2 linked regions of the Oryzias latipes genome follow. Each later gene encodes a partner of the first gene's protein in a complex. Links are inferred from orthologs where the notes say so. Each region holds a gene or a part of one and is shown on either strand. Other genes may lie near its edges. The genes, in order: raf1 and ras-related protein Rap-1A.

The links.
Region 2: the proteins of raf1 (region 1) and ras-related protein Rap-1A are in contact, whole or in part, in a crystal structure (PDB 3KUC), measured with the Homo sapiens proteins. The link is inferred for Oryzias latipes from reciprocal best matches to the Homo sapiens genes RAF1 and RAP1A. Residues at the interface, in NP_001341619.1 of Homo sapiens: Thr57, Arg59, Asn64, Lys65, Gln66, Arg67, Thr68, Val69, Val70, Lys84, Lys87, Val88, Arg89, Gly90; in NP_001010935.1 of Homo sapiens: Val21, Gln25, Ile27, Val29, Asp33, Pro34, Ile36, Glu37, Asp38, Ser39, Tyr40, Arg41.

The regions. Positions count from the first base shown.
Region 1 is NC_019865.2:17,672,478-17,682,620, forward strand, and holds the start of raf1 (RAF proto-oncogene serine/threonine-protein kinase), read left to right. Parts: upstream 1-5,156; 5' UTR 5,157-5,789; intron 5,790-6,090; exon of another isoform or gene 6,091-6,173; intron 6,174-6,248; exon of another isoform or gene 6,249-6,273; intron 6,274-6,317; exon of another isoform or gene 6,318-6,834; intron 6,835-8,425; 5' UTR 8,426-8,450; coding exon 8,451-8,651; intron 8,652-8,752; coding exon 8,753-8,865; intron 8,866-9,453; coding exon 9,454-9,556; intron 9,557-9,647; coding exon 9,648-9,805; intron 9,806-10,143. Other genes in the region: haloacid dehalogenase-like hydrolase domain-containing 5, read right to left, coding at 241-366; cnbp (cellular nucleic acid-binding protein), read right to left, coding at 2,040-2,157, 2,238-2,436, 2,572-2,637, 2,778-2,895. UniProt on the Homo sapiens protein: Serine/threonine-protein kinase that acts as a regulatory link between the membrane-associated Ras GTPases and the MAPK/ERK cascade, and this critical regulatory link functions as a switch determining cell fate decisions including proliferation, differentiation, apoptosis, survival and oncogenic transformation.
Region 2 is NC_019863.2:11,456,374-11,466,416, forward strand, and holds part of ras-related protein Rap-1A, read left to right. Parts: coding exon 1-5; intron 6-193; coding exon 194-250; intron 251-678; coding exon 679-819; intron 820-5,506; coding exon 5,507-5,650; intron 5,651-6,006; coding exon 6,007-6,096; 3' UTR 6,097-6,133; intron 6,134-10,043. UniProt on the Homo sapiens protein: Counteracts the mitogenic function of Ras, at least partly because it can interact with Ras GAPs and RAF in a competitive manner. Together with ITGB1BP1, regulates KRIT1 localization to microtubules and membranes.

The sequences.
Region 1 (10,143 bases):
CCAGACCAAAAAAAAACCAACCCCGGCGGAGTTTGGGGTTGGGGGGGAAACAGAGTAAGCTCCATGATCTGCTGCCCTCCCGGTGCTCCGTCCGGCCATCAACAAAATGAAAAGTTGGGTGGAAGCGTTACTTTAACGGCAAAAGGGAACGAACATGTGACACTGGCATCGCAAAGAGTCACCCCCTATCTGTAGTGATGTTAGCCTGAGCCAACCCGAAGCAACAGCTAAGAACCGTACCTTGGTGGTAAAAGAATGAGTTCCGCTAAGAAGCCCGCACTGAGAACCGACAAGCCCCGCTTTTCCAGCGGCTGGACGGTTGCTCAGAGTACGCAGGCCCCGGTAACACGGTAGGAGTCCTTTCATCTCTGTTGCTTGTGTCGGGGCTAATAGAAAAACTATTAAATAAGAACGATAGTTAAAAAAATAGACTCCTGCGTGCAATACGAGCCGGCTCGCACCGGCCACGGTGGCTGGCTGCTCGGCTTGTTTTTCCTCAAATTATTTCTCAGCTCTAACGTGACTGGGCCAGCTCCGATGACGTCACATGAGGAGGTGGAGGGAGGGTCTCTTTTGCTGCATCTCTGTGGCGGAAGGAGATGTGCGGAGCTCTGGCCGCAGCTGCACTGCAACCGCCGCTGCCATTTTAGACGATGAAGCGGAGTTGACCGACCGCGTCCAGACCAGCACGCGCCGGCAGCTCACCGATTCACCGAATCTTTCCGCCAGAGAAAGAGAAGAAAATGGCTCGACGCATTTTTAAAAATGTGTTTTTTTTCTAGGCGGTGTCCTTTTATAAAAATATTTTAAAAAGATGTGAACTTGCTAAATAGGGCACCGAACTGGCTTGTTCCAGTTAAGTACAGCAACTCCATTCTTAGTGCATCTCGTTTTTATCGAGACATTTCTACACCTTCTGTATGTGGAAAAACAAACGTATCCCCTCAAAAACACGCAATCAGACATACAATAAATAAAACCGCTACACACCTCTTTAGTAACTATACAAGTCCAAATGTAGCTAAAATGAAGCAGACATTGCATGCAACATTTATTACTTTGAAGTCATTTTACTTGCCATAAGTGAGAAATTTTACTGTTTATCACAAGTTCCTGTAAAAAATAAATGCATAGAAACCAGACAGCTCCACCCCGTGCTCCTCCAGCTTTATTGATAGTTTAAAATTACATTTCTATTATCTAGGACTTCAGTTGCACTTTCCTTCCGACTTAAAAACTGAGTACAAGCAAATGGTATTTATACAGTAGTCTAAGTGATATTGTACAAAAATAACATTTTGATTTCAGAGAAAACATTGTTTCGTTCCCAAATAACTCCAAATTCTGCAGTTCTGACAACTGTTGATGTTCAAATGTTTTTGCCAAGGCATGAAAAACAAAAAGGCATTTTAAGGGAGAAACTCTACCTTGGACTACTGAGTGATATTTAAATTGTAAACAGATTTCTATAAAAGAGCGTGTTTTTCTTTTTATACCTTGAAAAAAAAAATTGTTTTGAAATCTTAGTAATATAACAAGTAAATTTGTTATAGCCCACTTGTAGCTGCTTGTATGGGCTGAAATGCATCATGTTATGAACTGTTTCCATGTCGTACTCTCTTGGCCAACTCATATTCCACTAAAACAACCCAAAATAAACCACACATGGCAGTTTGGTTTCCATTTACACCAGTCTTCCATCTCATTTGACTGAGATGCTCATCCACAAGCTCAGAGGTCCTATAGATTCCCGTTTGTTTAGTCCCACTTGTTCATCGCTGATCACCAGTGGCTTGGAAAGGGGGGGGTTCTTCAACAAAGCATTATACATAACACCGCTACCAAACTAAAACATTTTATTTTGTATTGAATGCAGAAAGATATTTTTTCACCCCTTTCATTGTATTACATGTCTAGAGGCTCACTGGCCCGGGACTAGCCTCTGTTAGCCAACCTTTGGCCAGTGAAGAGGATTCAGAGAAAATAATACAACCAACCATCAATCCGAAAAATAAAGGAGGGGCAACAGAGGGCACTGCTTATGCGGTCGCTTCGATGGTGCACTCTTTTGCCAGGTGGCCTGCCTTTCCACAATTGTAGCAGTTAGTCTCGCTGGCTTTACTGCAATGCACTGCGACGTGACCGATCTCACCACACCTGCAAGAGAGGAGGAACGGGGCCACGTGACCAACCCAAGATGACAAACGTGCACGTCTGAAAAAGACGGGGAAACTTACCTGTAGCATTTCACCTTATCGCAAAGCTTCTGGATGTGACCGAACCCACCGCAGGAGTAGCACTTCTGCTCGTTGGCATGGTCGCAGTCACGCGCCATGTGGCCAGCTTTGCCGCAGGTGTAGCACAGCTGCTCCCTTTCCTTCTTGGGCTCCTTGCAATCCCTGGAAATGTGACCACTCCTGTGGCAGTTGTAGCACGCTAATAAACGCAAGCCAAAAAAAAGCAGTTTACAACTACTGTTAGCTTAAAGAAAATAGGTCCAAAATTACTAAATTGGATGCTTTGGTTTTAACATGTCAATACTTTTTTTTTTATACTAAAAAAGCTGCACACCATCCTCAGTTTGGTCACAATCCCTGGCCATGTGTCCCTGGTCACCACAGCGATAACAGAACAGCTCTGAAAACACAAGAGAGCATGTTACGTTACTTTTACTATAATTATTAAACATTTTGCTTCAAAATTAGAGAAAAAGATGTGTAAAAACGTGTGAGGTGCAGGTGAACTACTCTAGCCGTAGTCATAGTAATGTGTAGTACCCTTGCCTCGTCCCCGGCCCCTGCCACGGCCACGCGTCCCACTGGCGTTGGGACAGTGCTTGACCCAGTGCCCAGGGCGTCCGCAACCAAAGCACTCGCTGTTGCTGCTCATCTCCATTACCTAAAAACAGACACAAAACTAAAATAACTATATGTGCTTAAAGAAACCTATAGTGGGGTGGAGCAAACTAATCAGCAAGGACACGTTCTCTCCTGAAATTTCAGTGGATTCATGGGAGATTTTGACGTGATCTTAGCATTTGTAACATGCAACTTTATTGTGTTTTTTAGTATTAGCAAACCAATTCAGTTCAACACAGGACTCCCATCACAAATTACAAGCCAAATGACTAAATGGGAGGGTCTACTCTACAATCAGAGAGGGATTTTTTTTAATCTATTTTAATTTTCATCTAATGTTGCAATCCTAACTGTCAAATGAAGCCAATAAACTACAATTAGCAGCTACACTGACTAACTTACAAGATGTCCTCAGTGGGATCATGTTGTGATTGTCATAGGGCCAAACTTCAGTCTGCTGAAGACATGAAGTCAAGAAGGGCTTTAGTTCATAAATTGTTTAGCTTTCTTTTAGACTAAAGTTAGCAAAAATATATATACTGGCTGTCATAAATAAAACAGGACCAAGTATTAATTAACTCGTGAGCAATTGTCCCTTAAACACTTCTTTGCTGAAATTTCATTAACCCCAATTAACATGTGATTTAAAAAGTTAATACTTTAAAAGCATAACTTGTGTGACTTTAAAAGCTACACTTTGAAAAGAAGAAATACAAATCCTAACTTGAGATATTGGCTGGTTTTATTTTAAGCCAAACGCCATTAGAGGCCGGAGGATGGCCATGCCGTGGGTAACTTTATGTCCAGGGGCCAGCACGCCGCATCGTGTTTTGATTTAATGCCTTCAAACTCAACCAAATTGATGGGGCGTTTTGCAAACAGTGAAACGCTTTATGCTGTTTTAAATACCTTGTGGGGGGTTTCGTGTGTAAATTGCCCAACACAGAACATGTGGCTCTGAAGCGTTTAGGCGCTCACAGCAACAGAAATGCCAGAGGTTGAGGCAGCATGAGCGTCGGCCTAGTCACGTTGATTTTTCTGCGCACTCGCGAGACCGTTGCTGGCTAGCGCACGCGAGCTCAGCTAACCACCTCATGACCAAGAAACGCGGTTCAGTCGACGATCAATCATCGCTGCCCAGTAAAAGGATGCCGATCCGGGGTTATTATCGATAGTTCCTTGCGCTAAGTGTTTTTCCAGGAGTATCAGATTCAATATTGCGTATAAACGAAATTTCCCGCCAGGGCGCACTCACCAAAGTCGTTGTGATGTGCTAACGTTAGCAGGCCGGACTACGAAGCCGATGCTGAGTTAGTGAGAGCAAACAAATTGACAGTAAGCCGTATTCACAACAAAATTAATCAAACGTCTACGCTGGTTGACATTTTGATTCATAAATACAAATGTTGCAAAAGACCTTTAACACCAAACGGTTATAATATCGCAAAGCCGTTTTATTGCTTACCTTTATGGCTACCTAGCTATGTCACTGTTTACGCCTCCTCCTCTGCGCTGCATGCGGTGCAGGCAGGAGTTCCTGAATTGTCATTCACAGTATCCAGTAAAAACTCGCCCTCTGATTGGCTACGTGCTCGCCAAGTAACCAATCACAGACCAAGAAGCCTGGACACCGCCCCTCCAAATAGGCTAATCGTTGAGATGAGACGGTCCATATTTTTCCCTCCTCCGCTAAATTAGTCGTTTTCTCTTCGCTTCATTTCAGACATCTAAAACATCTGGAAGTGCGAGTACCGCCCGTATGCTAGGAAGAACACCAAACATGGCAGCACTTTAAAGTTTAAGAGAAACATAATACAATTGAAGCCAAGCTAAATTCATGTTAAAATTAAGGGGGAAACTCTTTATGTAATTAACACATTTTTAATGTCAACCAATCTGGTTTTGGATCTACATTCATGCAATTTGGAAATTGCATGGAGGTTTGATTTTTAGTGGCTGAATTAAAAAAAATATTTTAACACTTTTTCATTAAAAAAAATTAAAATACATGAGAAATGTGAAAGTAAATAACTGAATAACTCCGATTTTAATAGACTGTAAACAACAGCTGTATTACAATTATCTTTATTCCAAATAAGCCAAATTTAAAGAAATAAAGTAAAAAGACAGATCCTTAAGCTGTTTACTGGAATTAAACTAATAATGGGTCAATTCAACCTATAGTTTATGTCATTGTTTGTTTGTAAAACAATAAACTTTAATATTTCATCAGTCTTCTATTTATTTTTGAGTATTGAAAGGTACACATGTCATAGGAGCTGAAAACATCTCAGCTAACTGTCCTGAGTGCTCTCCTAGATCAATACGTGGAAGAGACGCTTTCACCAGTCTTAAGGTGGATTTGGATGGAAAGCTTTCGTCGTTTGATTTGTCTAATATCTCATTTTTGCATCCTATTAAATCTGATCATGTCTAATAACTTGTAATGGATCGATCTGGATTGTGTAAAATGATGGATTTTATTCAGCGTCACTAAAAACAGAGTTGTGGTTCTGCATATGGGCTGGAGCACCTTAAAAGCCAGCCCCATGACAAAGCCCTGCCCCATCCTCACTGGAACACTGTTTAGTATTTCTGTGTTTCAGTTACTTCTGAGATTGGGTTAGAAAAGCCTGCTGTCGGAGAAGATGGGTGAAATGTGAAGTTACGGATAGTTACAGATGAAAAGTGTTTATTGGGAAAGTATAGAATAAACCTACAGCTTTGTGGCTTTATTGTCTTGGTAAAACTGTGCAAAGAGCTGCTCATGGAGATATCCAGCGCTCAGGACACAACACACTGCCTGGTATGATGATAAAACTCCTTCATTGCTTTGGAGGATACTGGAGCCATCTGGGATAAGGGGACCTCGGAGGATCCTTTCAGGCCAGGACGTCACAGAGATGATGATCACATGGTGAGATAAGTTTGGTATGTTTTCAGAATGATACTGCTTTAAGAATAAATGGACATTACTTGCCAGAAATTATTATGGTTAAAGATCTTACAAAGGTAGAACAAGTAATGACGTGGTTCTTTTGTTCTACTTGGCTAAAATACCAGTTTGTATTGTGATTATTTATATTACATGGCTTCACATTGTGGTTTATTGATATTTTTAGACCAAATATGTCAGTTTTGGCTCAGATTTACTACAAAGAAGCAGATAAATTTCAGGGTTGCAATAACCCGTCTGTGCCACCAGGTGGCGCGCTTGGAAATGTAATGAAATACTTATTAGCCATGAGCGTAAACCAATGAAGACCTCCGGTGTAAGTCCATTAGCTTTTTGCGTTTTCTGAAAGATTTGCAAACGTAAGTAAACATAAATGCGCTTTTGAAGCAAAATAGCCTAAACGAACACTTACTGGGGGATAAGAATGGACGAAATCCGGTGTAAAATATGACTTCACAGGTCTGTATTACAGACAAAACTGTTTCTTTTCAATTATTTACGAATAAAGCCGAAGAAGTGGGAGGACTTCGGCTGGTCCTCCAGCTGCGCAGTCAGCGTGAGCGATGCTTGCAGGTCTTGTTTTGACTGCAAGGTCTAGTTTCAATCCGTGGCGTCGGGCGGACGCACGCCTTCAAATCTAAACAATGTAAATAATGGAGCACTTGCAGAAACTAATGGAGGTTCGACTTTAAAGGTGAATTAAAAAAAATCTCAGTACAGTCTGACTTTTTATGCGAACAACATTTTTGTTCCAATTTAACCACCGGGAGACGAGGAAGAAGGAAAGTTTTCCGTGAAAGAGACTCGCCTGTGACCTTTATATGAATGCAACATTCTCCGGACGCAGAGGATTATTCGACACAACCGAACCGGCGGATACACGTCTCCCCCCGTTTCAGCAGTCCTGACGTTCTCTCCATCTTTTCTTTGAATGCGTTGCAAAAAAAAAATCCTGATGATGTCACCGACGCCACTTTTTCCTGAAGTTATGGCGGAGCCCAAGTTTTTGAACTTCTCTTGGTGAGCACGTACTGGCTGCAGCTTGCAGCATGTCTTGCTTGTGTTTGCTAGCTCGCGCGAGGAGTTAATTTACTTCCACGGAGCGCACGCGGACACAAAAATGGACTCTCGAAACGAAGGGAAACCGAGTACTAGGATAGCTTTGGACTTCACTTATTGGCGAAACGGTTCGCCTCTGAGGGCCTTCAGACTCTAACTGTTGTAACAGGAACTATAAGGCCTCACATAACATCACCGTTACCCACTGGTAGAGTTGCCATGTTAGACACGGTCTTCGTTTAATTCAGCTTTTATTTGTTAATGCTCTGCTACCTTAACACGTTCCCATACGTCATCAAACAGTGCTACGCTGCTGATAAAGTTTTTATCCACACTTCAAACTCAGGGTTTGGAGCTGATTGTTTTCATTGGAGTTTGAGTGGCGTAACCGCCTATAAAATTAAATATGGGGACTGTATTTCACCCCCAAAGTTAAATACTGTCTTGTGGATGGATAAAAGCTCTTGTCCTGCAGAGTACAGTTAAAAAAAAAAACTTTTCTGCATATTAATCATGGCTCCCGTGACAGCTAGCCAGTACTACTTTACAGTAAATATTGCCCTCGGAGACTGCACGTTTTGGGGTAAAACACAATAGAGGTAACTGGAAAAGGGGTTTTTTTTTTTGGGAGGGAGGGTGAAAGTAAACCGGGAAAAACACTACCTGTATGTGTGTATCTATATTTACAACATAAGGCCACAGTGTGCACTAGAAACAAAGCAGAGGGTTCGGTTGTGATGGTTCATCCCAAGCTGTGAACACTGACTCCAGTTATTTTTAGCTCTGCTTATTATGTGTGTGGTTTTAAATGGTACACAAATCCTGATTGTTATCATCATTCCTATATTTCAGGTCAAACATTGAACGTATATTTAGTTCAATTGTTGTCGTTGCACGTTGTGCAATTGGTTCATTTGTCTCAGATTTTGTGTTACATTAGCCAAAATGTCCTTAATTTTGTTGTAATACTGTTTTAACGGCTGCTGCAGCCCCCTCTGAAAGGGCCCTAGTCTTAGTTTAATCTGGTGAGGGCATACCTAGTGAGATTATATTTAGAGATGACCTCAATTCCAATTTTTGACATCTAAATAAAATGTTTTCCGCCTTAATAAGAGGCAAATGTTGCTGTCGGCTGAGTATTGCTGTTTAGCAAAAAAATAAATAATAATAATAATAAATAATAATAATTAAATAATAATTTTTCTCCACATGACCCAGTCTACATAGGAGGCGAGCATCTAACAAAACAGGGCTTTACTCGATTGATCAAAGATGTAAAGGGGACATCTGATTGGTCAAATGTGCAAGAGACAATATTTTTTAAGTATGTCAAGCTCCCATGAAATTGTTTTAACATGTGTGCAAACATTTAAGGTAACCATTTATTGCAGTGTACGACGTCTTTTGCAATACGTGTATTGCACAGGCTGGTATCACCATGGCGATACATTTTCCGTTTTGTGCTAGGCCTAATCCAAAATTGCACAACAAATCTTTTACAACTTCTCCCAAAAAGATGCTTGAGCTCTTGACCATCTTATTTTTTTTTTAGACTATCGTGACAGTTCGCCTTACTAATGGAGCACCTTCAGGGAGCTTGGAGGACTCTGAGCAATGGATTTGGAATGAAGGACTCTGCATTTGAGGGCCCCTGCCTTTCCCCGACCATGGTCCAGGGTTTTCCCAGCCAGCGACGCTCCTCAGACGACAGCAGGACACCAGACTCCAAGGCCAGCAGCACAATCCGTGTCTACCTCCCAAACCAGCAGCGCACTGTGGTGAGTTCAATAGCGCAAAACTTCATGCCTATTTCCAGGACTCTGAAATCGACTTCCAAAACAGTGCACACATGTTGTAACTAATTCCCATTCTGTGTCAGGTTAACGTACGACCGGGTATGACTCTTTTCAACTGCCTCATTAAAGCGCTGAAAGTGCGAGGCCTGCAGCCTCAGTGCTGCGCCGTCTTCAGGCTACATCCAGGACAGACCAAGTGAGTTTTAGAACTAAAAGTGTTTTCTAAGCAGGGGTTTAAAGACCCACTCTGAGGAAAATTGTGTTTCTAAACATGTTCTAGTGGCATATAAAATGAAAATTTAGCTCAAAAATGAATTTCTGAGGATTATTTTATTCAAATTGTATGAATTGAGAGCAGATGAAAACATTCAGTTGAAAAAGAGTGCATTTGTGACGTTGAAAATACTCTTGGTGGGCCACACGACTAGATCGATGTACGTCTTCATTTTCCTCATCCAAGCTGACATCTGGTTAAAAACTGTACGGCTGGAGACTTCCAATATTGCGTTCTGTTTTCGTTGCACCGTTAATGTTAAGTGGGGGTTGTGAGGGGCTGTCAGCTAGCGGGAGGGCGTGTAAACAGAGAGCTTTTCAGCAATGGGGAGTGGAAGGGCGGCGGGGTTGCTCCGTGCCAACAGTCCCGTCCACAATTCAGATTTTAATGTTTAACAAACCACTGTCACTCTGCAAAAGATGATCGGAGTAGGACTGTAAAGATCCAACACACACAGATCTTTAAGATGCTCTATTTATGTGTTGGCTGTCTTGTTTCTTTTTTCACTAGCAAGAAACTAAGGATGGACTGGAACACCGACTCGACCTCTCTGATTGGAGAAGAGCTGCTGGTGGAGGTTTTAGATCACGTTCCCTTGACGACGCATAACTTTGTATGTGGTCTGAGTATCTTTGACAAACATTTCATAGATTTCCAGACATCAACACTATATTTTTTGTTGTTGGTGTTGTCGTCATTTTCAGGTTCGTAAAACATATCTCAAGCTAGCATTCTGTGACATTTGCCAGAAGTTTCTCTTGAATGGATTCCGCTGCCAAACCTGCGGCTACAAATTCCACGAGCATTGTAGCACCAAAGTGCCCACAATGTGTGTGGACTGGAGCAATATCAGACAACTCCTGTAAGTATTTAGGAGGTTATTGGATAAAGTAGCTATTTGTGCACAGATGTATCAAGTGGTTTTTGGTCATTTTTACCTTCACCATTATCGTCGTTCGGTTTAGTTGCCATAGAAGTAGAAAGGTCACCAAGACCAAAGAGGAAATTCGTGTCAACTGCTGCTGCACTTTTTAAAAATCATTTGCATGTTTGTTTAGTGAATGTAGAAGTTGTCTTTTCATTTTATTTCATGTATGCAAATTTATTATTTAAATTTTCTTCAAAGATAAGCAATAAAACCAGACTATAAGCAGACAGTGCTGGGAGTAGAGGAATGTGAAGGAATTCTAAAAAAAGAAA
Region 2 (10,043 bases), on another chromosome or scaffold:
GAAAGGTGAGTGTGTCCTCATGGGATGTAAATGCTATTAAGCTGTCTGCCGATGCTTTCTTTTAGAAAATAATCTGGTTTATCCCACTCATTTAATTCTTTACTGACTTTTAGAGTTTTCTGAATTTCATTTGAACAGTGAACAGTTTGAATTGTTGCCATATTTTCATGTTCACTTGTTTTCCTCTTTTCAGCAAGTGGAGGTAGACGGGCAGCAATGTATGCTTGAAATTCTTGATACAGCCGGCACAGTAAGTAAACCTGACCTCATTGACATCTCTGTAAATATTCCCTCTTCTTCACATACTCCTGAATGCATTTATCAAACACTTTCAGACGTCAGAAAATGTCAGAGAAAATAAACTTTCTCAAATCTTATAATCTCCTAACAAAGTGAATTTAAACATGATCCAAGTGTTGCTGTTTACCCTTTTTATTCATCTGGGTGCAGTGGGCACTAAACCTCCCCTGCTGTACTCATGCAAGATGAGCCTTTTTATTAGTACTACATAATATTTGGAGGATATATAATAGATTTTTGTTTGATCTCTTAAGTCTCAAACAAAATGTCAAATCTCAAGTTTCAAGATACCAACACAGGCAATAACCAGAGTTTATACACAATAAGGAAATTGTCAGAATTAATTCTTCCTCTTTGTTTTTTTCTTTTCAAATGTAGGAACAGTTCACAGCGATGAGAGACTTGTACATGAAAAATGGCCAAGGCTTTGCCCTCGTATACTCCATCACAGCACAGTCCACCTTCAACGACCTTCAAGACCTTAGAGAACAGATTCTTCGAGTAAAGGACACAGAGGATGTGAGTGTACTCTTCATGGGGGGTACTTGCCATACTTTTATAACTCCTCCCAATCAGCTCAAAATAACCTCCAGTATCCTGCTGACTTTGTCAGAATTAGCAGGCATTTGAAATATTTGGTATTGATTATTGTAGTGTTGTTAACATTATTTAGATACATTAATCACAAATTTACTTTGTATACCAGTTGGTTTTCTCATTATCTTATGCCGCATTTACACTGAGTGGGGGCGGCTGGTTTCAATGTTAAGTCAATGTAAACTTAGCAACAGTCGTGCAGTGGAATTCCAGCATGTTAAAAAATTTTTACCTGAACATTTGGGAATATTTATGTCACGTCAACCAATCAAGAACTCTGCTTTAAAAAAACTGGGCAGTGACGTGTTGTTGTGATCAGTCAGAAACCGACATGGTGGAGACGCTCAACGCTGCTATTTGTACTCCTCCCAAACTTCATGTTTTTTCTTATTTTTATTGATATTTGAGACAAGAATAAAAAGGTTCTTCTTTTACTTTATTCCTTCCATGGACAAATCGTCAAACTGGGCTTAGAGAAGTACAGTTGTGTCAGTCATTCAGATACAGCTCCTACATGGCGAAACTCACGTACTGAGACCTTCGTTGAATGATCTCATGAACCCAAGCTTAGGGACATGCTTGCTGGCACATTTGCAAAGCTGTCCAAAACAAATAAATCCAAGCTACTCTTTCAACATCATCCATGCCTTCCATAATGTAGCAATGAGGCACTTCAAAACGTATAGCAGTAGCTCCTTCCACATGCATATTGACCTAAAGTGAATTTCTGTGTGATTTATAAACACACTTTTTTACACACCATAAGAGCAAATTTGCTGCATGGCCAAACAGAGAGGGAGAAGGTCAATTTGATGCAAAAGCCACATTCAGTCTGAACCCAGCATAATGCTGGAGAGTGAGGCAGGAGTTGTAAATTGACTTTGAGTTTTCCAACAATGAAAACAAATGTACTCCTCTTAAGCATCAGCTCTAAATAAGATGCTTCTTATTTTTGGTTTGCTTTTTTTGTTCATTGTTCAACAAAGTACAAACCCTGATGGTCCCTTTTGAAAATATCCTCCAGTTGACTTGTGACATCTGAGTAAGCTCCTAATTTCAAATAAAGCAGAACTATGGCAATGTTATTTTTGGAAAACCAGCTGTCATCTCTGTATTTTCCAAATGTTTGTTTCAGTAGCTATCAACTAACTTTCTTCCTCCTTTTTGGAGGAGCAGATCATGCGTCAGCAGGATCTAAGATGCCCTTTTTTGGCGATCTTTGAAGGGATTGAATGTTACCGTAACCCCTACCCTTTCCTTTCCTAACTTCGTTTTCCTCTTCCCTTTTAGCCGTCAGTATAACTTTTCTCTTGGCTGAGTTTTGCTCCACTCTTTCTGTCCTCCTGGCTCCTTTCGTACCGCATCTTTGCTAGTTCTCATCTTTGTTTGTTTATTTTTTAATGGCCTCTCCAGCTCTTGCCCAGTTTTTATGGTCTTCGTTGTGGCCTCACTGTGGTCTGGCTCTCTGTTTGGGTGATTGGACTGTCAGGGATGATGTGCAAGGAAAGCTTCAGCTCATCAAAAGCACCCTAGGTTGTAAAGCTGTGGTGCTTCATTACGGTCTTTGTGGTTAACAAACCAACATTGGCCTCAAGCTAACATGTGGGCTGGAGGATCCATGGCGTGCAAGAAAGCATTTCATTTACCTTTTCTACCAAAACATGTTCTTTTCTGTTATTATTAAAAAGACTTTATTTTCAACAGTTTTGCTTGTCTGGCTGCTCTGTCAGCTTTCCACTCGGACGTGAATTGGGAATACACCTAAAACAGCTGGAACATTTGTTTTTGTCTTAGCAGGAATGCTCTACCAGAGGAATTTCTAAGCATATTTTCTTTTAATCATCTGTAAAGACCCATTGCTTATTTGGGTTTAGTCTCTAGACCATTGCAAAGTTAAAACAGATCATTCAGGTTTTATTTTTTTTATTTGCCCACACCACCATATGTGTCTCCTGACGGACGGCATTGGGAGTAAAAATAATAATAATCAGCATTAAAAATCCTTCTTCCTTTACTTCCTTCCACAGTTCTTATGTAAGAGATCCTATGACTTTGCTATTTCTGCCCGTGTCCATCATTGTATTATCTCTGTGTTTGTGAGTCACTCAGACAAAATGGCTCGTTACTCATTCTATACTTTGATGTTGTGCATTTTTGTGGGACCTCCTCCTAAATGTAAATGACATTTTAATTCAATCTAATGAAAATGGGGATTCTTTAATTACGGTAATGCTTCCTTATGTCCTGCTGACAAACCTTATTTTTCCCCCATCTCTGCATTCCTGTCTTTCCATCCTTGTTTCTTGTCCCGGCTTGGCTGAGTGCTCGTGCTTGCAGTGCACTCCATTGCTTTGCTAGCAGCCCATACAGAAGTGTTGCTCAGCAGTTCAGTGAAGGATTGTTTGGATATCAAACATCAAGCAGGCACCTCTGTAGGCTCACTGTATACACGTCTGTTTCCTGTCACGATTCTCAAATGCAGGAATGCAGAGAGAAAACTTTTCTAGAAATGTATTCTATGCTTTTTTTGTCTCAAAGACAGTAATCGCTTAACAAAAAAACAAGTGTTTTTTTAATCAACAAGACAATCCTAGATATAACTTCTGGAAGAGAAGAAGGTAATAAAGATGCGACTTTCTGAGCGTAAATTCATGTTTTTTTTCTACTGGAGGCCAACCACAAATAGATTTCTCCTGGCTGATATTTTATTGATGGCTGTTGTGCTGTAAAAGTTTCCATTAGGTAATTGTTTGTTTGTTGGAGGCCAGTGGCAAAAATGGAAACGTCTTGTGAACTGTGACAAACATTGATGCCTCGCTTCTTTTACCCCCCCTCCTCACATTTCCCAAGTAAACTAAACTGTTAAACACACAAAAATGTCACACACTGCACAATCACACACCATCATCTAATTCCACTGAGCAGCTGAAGCATGGAATACAGCTGAAATGTTGGAGAACATTCAGGAAGGAAAGCAATGTTATCCCGGCTGGGCGGGGCCGCCATGACTTCCTACGAGCCAGCATTCTCCCAAGATAGTTAGTCAGGAAACGGCAGACAGGATGAGACGCATCCCGACAACCCTCACTGCTCTGTGTTTGCAGATTGTAATAGGGAAGCCCTAAACTGGACTAAAGGTTTCCGTCCTGCTCCACCTTTTTATTTGTCCTGCTTCTTACTGTAAACGTGTTAATAAACAAAAGGAGAAGTGCTGTCTGTTTAAAGAGATCCAGTAACCACAGATCAGCACTCTGTCAGCTTTCTTTAGAAACGTCTCTATTAAAGACAAACCAAAGTTTTCTCAGCAGTTTCTGGTCATTTTTGATTAGTCAGCTGGTAATTTTACATTTTATAAGCCTTCTCTAACTGTCTGCCTTTTGTCACACCATTGGAGTTGATAGGATGGATAGAAAGCCCCTTTGCTGTCCTGGAGGAAGCATGTGGCAGATCAGTCTAAACTTGTTCAGTTTCCAGTTGCATGTAGCTACGTATGTCTTTTGGATGGCTGAAAGCTGTAAAAAAAAAAAAAAAGGTTTTCCATTTGTGTGGAATGTATGTGATTGAATGTCACGTCGACAGAATCTCATTCTAAGGTGAAAAGTTTGAACAGTGACTTGTTAGCTTTGATAAAAAGACAAGACTTGAAAGATTCTGTGCAGCAGTTTCACCTTCAAATCTTATGGAGGCCTCTTCATCACTTCATGTATTCAGCTTTCTGTCTGACATTTAAGAATGCCTAAACAAAATAGGAAAAGTTTGTGTTCTGTCCTTTGCACAGCTGGGTATGCCACTCCCTGTTTTTGTTCCATAATATTAAAATGATTGTGGAAATTTGTATTGTGATGAGTTGATTCGGGGTTAAAGCAGATATGGTTTTCTTTTTTTCTTCATTTTTGAATCCCTTATTGATCCTCATGCATACCTGGAATACATTATAATTGTTTTTATTCATTCTGTTTTTTCTTTTTTCTTCATTAGAATATTTTTTAAGACTTTAAAGTGTAAGACAGCTGAAAAAGGGAAACCTTTGACCCTCTGGGAAAATGGGTCTCCCTTGTGACACAGACCTGCCAGTTCTATTTTCTCTAAGTGCTAAAGAAGCTTTAGCAAAGTCTGCTCCCATCCAGGTTGGAGCGGGGCTTTTTTCTGCACTAGTCAGGGTTAAATGAAGATTAACATGGATGACGTTGTTGTGGGTGTTTAGTCAGTTATCGACTAGTAAAGTTTTATCATTAAATGGTAAACTACTTTCAGGATTTAAGTCGTCCCATAACATGTGGTCTTTTGCCTTGAACTGCAGTCACAGATGGATGTTTGGGCTGTTTTCATGCTTAGCATATGTTGGATGAGAGCCTGGACTAACACATGCAGAACAGAGTAACTATGAAAAACCCATAATGTCATAACAATCCGATGAAAGACTTGGGTTTACCTATGTTAGATTAATGCAATCCAAACAACCTTCAGTGAAGATGATGTAATGTGCTTGAAACACTCTCTGTTTGCTGAAACAGTTCAGTGCACCGATAGTTTTTAGGCTAACAAAGTAAAAAAAAAAAGATTAACATGCAGTCTTGCCTGTTTTCTACTGTTTTTTTTGTTGTTGCAGGTGCCGATGATCCTGGTAGGGAACAAGTGTGACTTAGAAGATGAGCGTGTGGTGGGGAAGGAGCAGGGCCAGAACCTGGCCAGACAGTGGAACAACTGTGCCTTTTTAGAGTCATCTGCTAAGTCAAAGATCAACGTCCTTGATGTGAGTCCACTTAAAAGCACGAACCTGGAGGTCCAAATCATTGAAAAGCAGGCAAATGCTTCAGGAGTTGTTGCAATCACCTTTTTTTTATTTTTTAATTAAAGTCCTTAAATCATGGATGGACTAAATTACAGATTCCCTTGCTTTTCCTCCCTCTATAGCCCCAAATATTTTGTTTTTATATCCCTGTTATTACTGTAGTAATGCTTTTGTCTACATTTTTACAAGTCAAAGGAAATGTAGGGATTGTTAGAATTTTCCCCCAGCCTAGAGTTTTTCTTCAGTGTAATTTTTCCACCATGCTTTCTAGATGAATTGGAATGCTTGAACATGTCCTTGTTTGTTTGACGCTCTAGATCTTCTATGACCTGGTAAGGCAGATAAATAGGAAAACGCCCGTGGAAAAAAAGAAGGCAAAAAAGAAATCCAACTGTGTCCTGCTTTAAACACCCCCCTCCAACCCCAGCAGCAGATCTGAGCCAGGTGAGTGCGGGCTTAGATTGTGTAACGGTTTATCAACAACACTCAAAAGAGCCCCCCCTGTAGAGATTAAAAGGGAACAGCAGAGTTTTTAAGGCAGCGTAACTTAGTCGATGATCTTATCTGAACCTGATTTATCCGATCTACAGATCCACACATTCAGGAACGCGTGAATTTAATAGACGGTTGCACTTCTATATCTAGTCTGCCAGTACATTTTCTTTTTTTATGACATGTTTAACACATTCTTAAAATGTGCACAGAGGCCAAGAAAGCCTTTTTTTTTTAGCCTTTTTAATTTTAAACACTCATGTGTTTTCTGCAATTATAATGTTTGAACCTCATCAAGTTCCAGCAGCTTCAAATATCTGAGGAAATCTTGGTCCATCCTTGCAGTTTCTCAGAAGTCAGAGGAGCTATAAATACTCTCTAACTAGACTTTTTTTCATTTCATTACTTCCCTAAAACAGTTCGTAGACATGCTAAAGGAGAACAGATCAGAAAATGTGAAACCAGGCACGCTCTCTTTGATTAACAAATATTTCTAAACAGAAATCAATCCTTTATGACCTAATTTACTATCAAATGTTCACAATGTGGTTGTATCTTTAAAAACAATTTCTTTTTAAATTTCTCTTATTAATGTTTCAGATAAAATAGAAAATTCTTTGGAAAAATATTGTATTTATTGTATTTATAATTTGTTTTGTCTTTTAGTCTTCCAAAACTAGGAATATTCCTATATTTAAACCTAATGTATCCTTCCACAGTTGATATTTTAATATTTATTACAAAAATGTCAGTAAACTCTGTTTTTCAAAGATTTAAACGTTATTTCATATTTCTTGGGCTTTAGCTTTAATTATTAAAGTGTTTTTATTTCATGAAACTTGTGCATGTTTGGAACAATCCAGCTTTCCTAACACAGAAATGCTGGATCTTGCTTTAAACTAGGAATCAGATATTTTATCTGCATGTGAACAGTTTGAAAACTCCTGGAATATCAGATATTTAAGTTTTTGCAGCATCTGATTGTTTCTTAGTACTAGAACCAGGTCAAAGTTATATTTGCTTCATTTTTAAACGAAAAAGTGAACATTGCCATTTTGTCATGAATGGCTTTTCTCTTCCATCAGCTGTTATTTCATTAGAGATCTGCAAAAACACATGACTGCATTTAGCTTTAGAGATCAGTGGCCTGTGAAAATAGGAGGAATTCAGGAATGATTTGTTCCCCTGAAGCTGTTGCAGCTTTGAACCACGCATTGTGATGGTGTTCTTCCCTTGTAATTGATTCCTTCTAGGGAACAAATACCTTTCCATCCTGCCAACAGTTCTGCAACACGTCATCATCACTTCTGTAAAGCACAGTCATATTTACACTTTAGTGTACTGACTGATCCCAAGCATGAAGTGCTTCTGCTAAACCTTCTGTTAGCTGCTCAGATGTCTACCAGCTTTGCATTAAAGTCCCCCTACGATGAAAAGCATGATTTTTGAGTTTTTGACATGTACGTGTGGCATTTTCCTTTTTGAAAGAGAACAAATGTCAACTTAACCTTTCCTCTGGGTCCAAGAAAAAACTTCCACACTGGCTGCACATATTTGGAAAATTATGTGTGAATACACACTTTCTTTCTGGCATTTCATTTTATTTGCTGTGCAAGTGAATTCAATCATTTTCATGCGCTAGCACCAAATCAGTTCTGAGCCACAACCAGTGCAATGTAGCCTAAATTATAATGTCATTCTAAGCAGTGGGATCAAAGGCGGGGCTACTCAGCTCAGCACCAACGGCCACGCCTATGTAGAGGAGATTTTGGAAACGGAGGCTTCAGATAGACATAAAATATGGCTTTTTAAGACATTTAGGTTGTGGGATTTTGGTTAAAAACTTCATAATCATAATTAAAACACAACTGGGAATGTTTTCCTGAGAAAAATTGTCATGGGGGGCTTTAAAAAGGAAATCAGCCTGCCTTCTTTTACTACCACACCTTTGTGTTTGCAGTAAGGCACGGTTTTTAAATGTAACATGTGAATGGCACAAATGCAAGTCCTAAAGGTTCATAATTCAAATGCAGCACAGAGAGAACGCTTTTAGTCACTTCTGCTATTTACTGTTTGGATTTAGTGTTGCTGAACCACCAGGTTTGTAATTTTTTTAAAACTTTTCGTTTTTTCCCCCTCCTCTCCAAGCACACTTCCAGTCTGTTTACATATTTAGGCCAATGTTGACCGAGCAAAACGTTGAGGTTGCCATAACAAAGACGTCACGCGGGTCTACGAACACCTTCTGCTGTGAACAGAGTTGGAGAATGCACAACTAAAATGACTGATAACATCCAATTGATCAAACATAAATCGTTAGATTCTGACAGCTCAAAAGCGCCTGGTGTTTGAACCCCCAACCTCAGCCTTTCTAATCAGCGCTTCGTTTCCTTTTTCATGCTCATATTGTGCAGATCAATGTCAGCTGCAGGATAAAGGCTGAGATTGTTTTACCAAAAAAAAAAAAAAACAGTTTGAAGCAGTTTTCCCCCCAGTTTGTTTACATTCCTTCTCAGAGGACTGATCTTTGGAACATTAGAAAGACAGGGACCTTTCTCTGTTTTGCCTTTGTTTAAACGTCTATGGATTAACTTAGAATCCACAAGTAAATAAACAATAAATCCGGTTTACGTGTTTTATGGAGAGGAGCCAGTGGATGTGAGTCTGAAATCTGCTCAGAATGTAACCCAGATGCCTCCTAATGAGGCGTTACCAGGATGTCGAATATATGAGGAGGCCCTAAAGCAAACGCAGGACACGCTTCAAAGATGTATTTCAGCTAACCTGGAAATGCCACTGTATCCCCTGGAAAAGGGGGTCCCAAAGCCCATGTAGTGGGAACAGTAGTTGTCAGAGTTGGTCTGTATGTGCATTGGTACACTCATTTTTATAGGAGTGAGCAGCTGCATTACTTCCGCACTTGTAAAATGTCCTTTTGAACACTCAAGCTAGAAATGGATAAACATGGGACTGCCTCTCTTAACAGAGTCCAGGACAGGTGAGCTTTTGTTATGTCAAACCTGTTTCAGTAGATGAGATTTGACAAAAACATGATTTTTTTGCATATTCCATCAAAACAGCATCATAAACGGCAATAAAATACAGCATGTGCACATCCTGTATCTGCTGTTTGGCACACGCATTCATTTACAAATGACGTGGTCAATTGAATGCTCTGAATGGAGCTCTGTGTGGGGCGAAGGCCGCCACATCGACTGCATTCACAGAGCACACAAACCGGTCCCAGTCATTTACATGCAGGAGTAATTCCACTTTTAACCCAGCCACTCTGCTTTTATGGACGCAGCTGCAAGAGGCTTAAATTAGCAGGATTTTATTCAAACTTAAGTGCTCTTGTTCTTTCAAAGTCCATTTTTAGTTTTAGTGGGACTCCGTTAAATGTGCTGAACAACAGTCATTATTTGCATAGGCACTTTTGTGCACTTTCTTACTCCGCACAAAGCAGAGCAGGGGCTTTAAACGGAATGCCTAATGGGATGTAAAGGTAAATAAAACAATGTTTACATTACCTTATTTAGAGTTTCCAATCATAAAATGTCTTTATGGAAGGATAATTTGAAGTTGCACTTTGACACAACAAAGGAAATGAAAGAGTAGATTAAGTGTTAAGGAGGACTGCATCATCCTGCAATGGACTACACAAGAGCTACCAATGTTTTTTTTCTTCTGTTTTGTTAACGGCAGTTTATTCTCCAGTGTACGAGGATACTGCGCCACTTAATGACATTAACTCAGTTAACATACACGTCTATGCTGGTCAACTTGGCTGCATCTCATCAGAGTAAAACGCTCTGTTTTCCTCCTTTCCGGTAGCCAACATATTACAAATAAAATCCATCAA